Kluyveromyces lactis: one gene and its partner. The protein of the gene in region 1 interacts with the protein of each later gene in a pairwise test. Links are inferred from orthologs where the notes say so. Each region holds a gene or a part of one and is shown on either strand. Other genes may lie near its edges. The genes, in order: IRR1 and MCD1.

What was found.
Region 2: the proteins of IRR1 (region 1) and MCD1 interact in binary tests that used the Saccharomyces cerevisiae proteins (3 or more experiments, as listed by UniProt). The link is inferred for Kluyveromyces lactis from reciprocal best matches to the Saccharomyces cerevisiae genes IRR1 and MCD1.

What each region holds. Positions count from the first base shown.
Region 1 is NC_006042.1:2,572,820-2,577,360, reverse strand, and holds the start of IRR1 (cohesin subunit IRR1), read left to right. Parts: upstream 1-1,640; coding exon 1,641-4,541. Other genes in the region: ATG45 (Atg45p), read left to right, coding at 305-979. UniProt on the Saccharomyces cerevisiae protein: Component of cohesin complex, a complex required for the cohesion of sister chromatids after DNA replication. The cohesin complex apparently forms a large proteinaceous ring within which sister chromatids can be trapped.
Region 2 is NC_006042.1:1,366,728-1,370,590, forward strand, and holds MCD1 (kleisin alpha), read left to right. Parts: upstream 1-1,466; coding exon 1,467-3,269; downstream 3,270-3,863. Other genes in the region: ATP16 (F1F0 ATP synthase subunit delta), read left to right, coding at 1-254; RQC1 (Rqc1p), read right to left, coding at 3,382-3,863. UniProt on the Saccharomyces cerevisiae protein: Cleavable component of the cohesin complex involved in chromosome cohesion during cell cycle. The cohesin complex is required for the cohesion of sister chromatids after DNA replication.

The DNA of each region.
Region 1 (4,541 bases):
TAATAAAGCTCACGAAGCAGTTTACTGTATCCATTCATCAACGGTATAAAGCAGTTATCATTACTTTGTCAGCCAAAGAACTGTACAGTATTTAGGACTTATATCTGCTACTGATTTTCTTTCAAGGGTTGCTCGCTGTCATATATATTTTTGATCCTGAAAAAATTAGACGCTTGTCCCTGAAAGACAAATAAAAAAATACTAAACTACTCAAAGAAATATTTACGATAAGAGGGTCTACAAGGACTTTGCTCATTCGGTTTCCAGAGCCACCGTATCCATCAAAACTTTACCATTGAAAATAATGTCCGAAAATTGTCAAGAGCTTTGTCTTAGAATTGATCCCGCTTCATGTGGATTTACTAAAGATGATCATGTTATTATCACCGGGGATTTCGATAATTGGAATCCTGGTCAGTACACCTTGAATTATGATTCAAGCACAGGCTACTTTATTGCCCATTTGCCGTACGATGGCTATAGTGAAACGTTCGTCTGTAAGTTCGTTGTCAACAACGAACATTGGAAAGCTTTGAGCTGTTTCGATAAATATATAGATGATATGGGTCACGAAAACAATTTAATCCATTGCAAGGCTTGGTTGGAGACTGAAGAAATGGTTGCTGATATTGTAATGGAAGATGTGGAATTGGATTTAAAACCTTTTAGATCTTCTATGTCACCTTCAGATCTTCAGATCGATCAGTTAGCAATCACTAGGCCAAGTAGCGAACAAGATTACATACACGTAACTTCAAGAGGTGAATTAAGCTCATCTGAGGACGTGGAATTAGATCCGAGAGTAACACAAGGTACAATTGATGATATTTTGGTAGATGATATTGACGAACAACAATCTCAACAAACTCTACTACAGGCAAGCTACTCTGATCAAAATGCCAAATATCCATCTTCATATAATCCGATACACGGACTCGTCGCAACTTTAAGACGTGCAACCACTTACTGGAAACGTTGATGGTTAATTTTATGCTATTTCTTCTTTACCTATTCTCCTTCTAATTGATTTTTCTTCCTTTCACGCTAATATACACTGCTTTTTGCTCAACTTCTTCTATCCAGTAAAAATCTTCTGAACACATATTCATCAAACTACAATAATTACTATTTAAACCTCGTGCTATTTCTCTTCTTTAATTTATTTAGCCTCTAACTTCTTTTTTTTCTCAGGATGTAATACAGTCTGTCGGTTTAAATCGATTACGACGATTGCTTCAAAACACACTCTCTTCCCATGCTTTGGTAGCCTCAAATGAAAGCATACAAAAGTCATCTCATTTGAATGAAAATTGCTCTTAGATAAAGTTCATGGATGTCTTCGTAAAACAGGTCATTTAACTTTAGATAGAGAAATTGATATAGGTCTGTGATTTAACAATGTAACACTGTTGTTTCACTTCTTAACACAGCTGCCGTTATTAGGCCAAAATATAATACTTACATTTTACATGGATTCGAGTAAAAAAACGCGTCGCGTAAATCTAAAAAACTATATGTATGAAAGTAAAAAAAAAGAGGCGACGAACAACAAATCAAGGAAAAAAACAGCTCTCACTCATAGTACATTAACAACAACAGTCACTTACTAGAACCATTCAGCCTCGTTCCACTGTCTACCTATGCCAGTGAGAAGGTCAACCAGGATAAGGACCAAATCCTCTTATAGTGAACAATCTGGATCAGAATCGGACTCTGAGCACGAAACTATAGGATCCATTGTCACCGACGATCGAATAAATATCGAAAACACGGATAATCAGAAAGAAGAAGAAGCTTTATCACAAGGTTCTAGTAGTTCAGAAGAAGACGATGACGCCAATGATGACGACTATGTTGCCCCTGGCTCCAGAAAAAGACCAAATTCCGGAGGTAGGCGCGTTGCAAGCAACAAGAGAACGAAATTAAAACAAAACGAGAAAGGCCGACCATCTAATAATATATCCAGTGCTGTTTCAAGAAAAGAACAGGAAGCATACATATCATTGCAGAATGAATTCAAACCCACAGAGCTTTTTGAAATTCTAAGCAGCTCCGACGATTTTTCTTGCGAAGAACTTGCCAGTGACTGGTTGGATTCCTATATAGATAACCGAAATGTCAGCTTAGCGAATCTCATAAATTTCTTATTAGATTGTTCTGGATGTTTCACTCATATTGGTGAACACGATGTAGCTAATAATGACTCTTCGAATGAAACAATAGGGGAAATACAAATTATGTTCCATGAGCAAAAAAAACATGAGTTCCATTTATTACTATCGGCAACACACAAGAAGGCAAAGTTCCGTCCTTTGAATGATAATTTTAACATTTTCATGACCACATTAATGGACCTAGCCATTGAGAAAGAGATGATATATGTTGAGAATGAAAAAGAAGAAAGTGACGAGATTGTGATCGAAACAAATCCATTAATTATTGACTTACTTACATGGATACCTTCCATGTCAGTATCAAAAATACGATGTTTGCGATATGTTTCAGCTAAAGCCATCTTCTGTTTCCAAGATTCTCTCGCACGAGCTTCTGCCAGCTTAGAAGCAGAGGTGTTATTTAAACTGAGGAAACAGTTGACACTGGAGAGAAAAAAGAAAAAGCCCAAGTCCAAAACTATGGAGACGCTAGAATCTTCTATTTCTGATGCTGAAGCTACGAAAACTGTGATAGAAAACACTATTGATAACATAATAAAGCTCTGTTTTGTTCATCGTTTCAAAGATGTAGATGAAAATATCAGATCCCTTGCGATATCCTACTTGTTAGATTGGATTGAAAACAATCCAGACTACTTTTTTAAGGTAACCTTCCTCAAATACTTCGGTTGGTTGCTATCTGATAGCAGTAATTCAGTCCGGTTACAAGTTATAAGGTCCCTTCATGACCTAATTAAGTTCTCCAATAAGAGAAACAAAAATACTGTCGATAACGCTGCCCTAAGACAATTTTTCGAAAGATTCAAAGATCGAATGTTAGAAATAGCTGGCAGAGACATCGATATTCAAGTAAGATTAACCTCAGTTCAAGTACTTTCGTCGATTAATGGGTTGGGTTATCTGGATGACCATGAAATAATAGACATCATTAGCTTGATCTTTTTTGATCATGAAGTAAAAGTATCTTCTTCGTCAAGGGACGTTAAATTCTTGAACGAGGTTACCAAATTCTTGGCAAACATTGTTTCTGAAAAAACGGAAGAGTTTCTAATAAACAATGAAAGGTTTAAGGTTCCGGTAATTTCGGTAACGGAAGAGCAGTTTGTTAAGGTGGGTGTGTTAATGAGATTATTACACAATTCATTGTTAAATCATATCAACTCCACTAGTAATTTAGAAGGTTATGCAAAAGTACCACCGGACAAAATCAAACTCTTACAGCAAGCGGCGGAATTTTTATCCCCCAAGTTTTACAACTTAATTGAAACTATATCAAAACTACTCTATGAAGAGGGAAATTTCGATGGCAGCACAATTCATGCTGATGCAGATGATTTTTCCAATGATCTGGGTGATATCAAATTGTTCCTACCAGAAACTGATAACAATGTCCTATTTTATGCCACTGTGTTGGGCGGCTTATGCACAGGCGGCATACAGTACAACAAAGGCCAGGACAGACAAGCCGTGACACAGTTAATTCTTCCAGAGTTAGAAGATCTTTTCAAGAAAATGAATCTTGATTCTGATCAGATATATACTCAACTACTAAATGTAATACAGCTATTAAACACAGAAGAATGGAATTCCAGTGAATCAAAGGATGTCATTTTTAATATCAATAAAACAATAACAAAACGATTTGAAAGCTCTCCAGTGGTTTTGAGCAACGCAAATGCCATTACTAAAACCTATAAGAGTTTAATTCCATATTTGGCATCCCTTCAAATACCAGAGGTAACTGGTTATTGGAAGTCATGTCTGATTAACGTGACATTATCATTCAAGAAGTTTATGGAATCATTTGACATAAAATCTGATAATTCAATAACAACATTATATCTGCAATATGTTAACAAACTTGTAATTTTGGGTAAGGAGTTCGCAATTGAAATTTCAGAAACGCTTTTGGATGACATTGTTGAAAAATTCTTGAAGCCGTTGAGTGAATTACTACCAAAGATTGATTCGGATGCCATATCTGTCCTAGATTTTAAGCTTTTCACCTCAATAGTTACTTGGAATTTAGCAACTTGGAGAGATGTTATCAAAAATAATGAAGAACCTATAGCTGTTTCACATACTACGCTGAATCAAATTAGAACGGTATTAGTCGAATTGCTGAATCTTTCTTCAAAGATCGATTCTAACCCTGAAATACAACACGACAAGAAATTCCATGTGCTTCATGTAATACTCTCTCCATTGTTAGATATTATCATTGCATTCAAAATGTTTGAGCTCGATTTGTCAGAAAAGGATTCCGATTGGATAAGGGCGTTAAGGCAAGAATATTCAGTTATCTCTAACGAAGATCTAACTGGTATTTGCCACAAAGTTTTCCTCTACCTTGAGAGTTGTCTTGGA
Region 2 (3,863 bases), about 1.2 Mb from region 1:
GTGTTGTTGAAGTCTTGGAAGGTTCTTCTTCTAAGAAGTTCTTTGTTTCCGGTGGTTTCGCTACTGTCCAACCAGACTCTACCTTGGCTATCACTTCCGTTGAAGCATTCCCATTAGAGTCTTTCTCTCCAGAAAACGTTAGATCTCTGTTGGCTGAAGCTCAAAAGAACGTCTCCTCTGCTGACGAAGTTGCTGCTGCCGAAGCTGCTATCCAACTTGAAGTTTTGGAAGCTTTGCAAGCCGCTTTGAAATAATTGAGATGAACGAAGAATTACAATTGGACCAAGGTATAATACACTTGATACGGATACTCTACTTGGAAGCAATTGTTTTCCCGGTTGATTGTAAACCTGTCTCGGCGTTTGTATTATCCTTCGTCTGCTTTTTTTTCATTATTCTAATTCCTATTATTCCATTGCACAAGCTTACACAACACAACGACGAATACATTTCATGATTTAGCCTAAAGACCCTTTTTTGTTGCTCCGGTCATTGTCCTTTCTTTCCATACAATACTGTAGTGTGAACGTACGAATAAGACTGGGAACTATTGAGAATTAACCTAAAACGACTATTACTAAAATATACAACGAATTAAAACCCAGCGAATTAAAAGAAATCAGAAGAAATAAATACGATAAAACCTAAAAATTCTAAATGATATGGAGGTTGATACAAGTGATGTCTCGATTCCGTTTCAAAAGGGGGTTCTAGTCTTTGTTTTAATGACCAACAAACATAAATCTTTCTTCAATATACTATTCCTTCCTTTCTAACAATATCAAAGAAAACACTGGATCGATTATAATTTGTCTATCCCCGTTAAAAATATTATCAATTAAGAACCGAATTGAAAGACTTAGATTTTATATTTTTTAGCAGAAACGATTTGTGTGTAACTGATGTCTAGTTTTAAGATTCATATTCATATATACCGATTAAACTGACTGCGCATACTGAGAGAGATGATCTGGTTTTGGCATCAACAAGAGTTAGAAAGGCAGGGTAATAAATGGGTATAAGGTCCTCACTTGTTACCCGGATTTTATACCACGAAATCGAAATTTTTCCGGCGGGAAATCTTTTGAGGTCCCAGAAAAAGACATTGTTTTCCCCCAAAAATATTTTCGCGATTTTTCTCCATAACGCGTTTCCGTGATGAGATCTATAACCAGCAATCCTTTAACAAATATCATTGATAAACACTGGATGAGAAGTATGTCTATTCCATCATATTGATTGCACCTTTACCAATAATTTTATCAAATATATATATTACCTATGGAATTTTAATGTCGTGACCTCTGAAAAAAGACACAGTGCTATTTTATTTCATTTTTATTTTGCTAACCATTCCTTATAAGATCAAGTTCTAATCTCGATCTTAAGTTTATATCCATTTGCTATACCATTTGCAACAGGAACCACGAGCCTTATATCACCTAATCCAAAAATAAACAACGTATATGCCACCAAATAGCAATTCACATACTCAGGTGAGATTAAATACAAGCAATGGGCCGTTGGCTCAGATCTGGCTGGCTTCCAATTTGAGTAGCATCAATCGGAACATTGCAAAGACTAATATCGTGGAATCTGTTGAAGAGATTGCCAAAGCTGCAGGTGTTAATCTAGATGATGAATCTGTGGAACCTATCACATTACGTGCTTCCGGTGAGTTACTACATGGTGTTGTAAAAGTTTATTCTCAAAAAGCATCCTATCTGCTTACTGATATCACAGACTTACTGAGTAAAGTGAAATCTATCTTCAAGGGATCGCTGAACAAGAGCGTCACAATTCAGCTAGATACAGTGGCAAAGTTAGATCAGCTTTTATTGCAAGATGCGGTTACAGAACTTGACGTCTTGGAGATGCCCAGTTTGGATTTCTTGAAAGATATCCAAGTGCCAGAAGGTTTTTTGATCGCTGAACGATCAATGGAAAGACAAGTGCAAGGAGCAGCACCTGTAACATCCGCCATTGCAGCACAACAACAAGCATGGGATATGTCCTTAGAAGTTGGAAGGCGATTCCTGGCAGATGAAGATGATGACTTGAATGCTATTGAACATCACGATTCATCTCATTTGAAATTAGATTTTGACCTTGGTGATTCTAATCAAAGCAATAACACTAAATCATGGGGTGAAGGGACTCGTGTTACTGCTAGTGAAGTAAACGCGGATGATGGAGAAAATGAAGGTGATTTGACTATTAGAAATGACAATGACGATGATGATGAATTGCTACCACTTAACGATGATTGGGATTTGGGATTAAACGATGATGATCAGAATATTTCTGGTAATCAGTCTAGCCATGGTAGCGACATGTCTGTAGAGATCGGGAGAAGGGCTGATATTACTCACTCATTGCATGATGATACACTCTTAGACTTTGATCTAGGGCTGCCAAAGGACACAGAACCAGAGCATCAAGAGCAAGCAGAGGCATACATACCACCTAGAGCAGTAAAGAAGAGGGCACCAAGGAATAAAGCCTTTATCAATGTTAAGAAGGTTCTCATAGATGCTGATGCCGAATTAAACGATTCTGAAGTGAAAGGAGGACCATCGGACTCAATTCTTATCGTTTCTGATGAGACTTCGTCCGCTATATCAAAGAAAAAAAGAGCCATCGATGAATTATACTCTGACCTGGACTTCCTTCCTCAAAAGATTATATCTAATTTCTTCAACCATAAAGCTTCAAAGAAGCCTAGAGCTCTGTCACAATCCAGCCAATCTGATGGGTCCGATGTTGATATAGATATCTCTTTGGGTATCGATGGAAGTTTGGTACACAATTCTGATCCATTCGATCACCAACAAATGGGCTTTGATGCAGAATCAGAAGGACCAGTGTTTGCTGATGATGAACCTCCAGTTCTTGCAGCTGATACATCCATGGAAGAAAATGATTACCAAGCCATTCAATCAGACGAATTTGCCTCTCGTGGGTCAATTGAAAAGGAAAAAAGTCAAAAAGTAGAGCTTGCTACCGGTGAAATCGTGTCTAAATCTACAGTGGAAATGGCAACTCTACTGAGAGATGAAATGAGCTCCGGTGAAGCTACTTTTGATAAAATCCTTACTTCGAAGTACCAGGATAACGCGGTAATAACAAAAAGAATGGCCAGTAAAGCATTCTTTGAGTTACTTTCTCTTGCCACCGCAGACTGTATATCATTGAAACAGAAGGAAACATTTGGACAAATCACAATTTTAGGAAAATCAAACTTATATGAGACGTTTGTTACCGCATAGACTTTTAATTTGGATACTTTTATAACGGACATTATGTATAAATAATTAATAATATCTGTTTTTTTAAGTTGGTTTAAATATACATGACGGCAGATCAGTTCAAGTTGTTGTGCTATTCGATTTCTTCATTTGGTTGTTGCTGTTGTTGCTGCTGCTCCAAGTATTCTTGTATTGATAACTGGTTAATGTGTTGTAAAAGCTCCTCATCAGCGAACCTGTTCATTTGGGATATTTCTAGATGTTTACTATCAATTAGTCCTTCGATTGTTTCTACTACATACTCACTTTCTCTATCATGTGGTTGTGGTGGTAGTACATCGAATTCAAACACAGAATGATCTGACCAAATTTCTTCGGGAATAGCAGCCATAACGGATGACTCTTGAGAAAGAATAGCAAACCTTAACAAATTAATTGGAATGTTATTGATGAAGAATGATGTTGGCGCCACGTCGTCATCATCATCGCCATCATTTATATCCTTCACTGCATCAGTGTCAAACGAAGTGGAATTAAAAATGCTTGCTAACTCATCAAGTAAAAACTTCTTAGCTTCCGCTTCCTTCCAAATGGCGCCCATTCTAGTAGTATAAG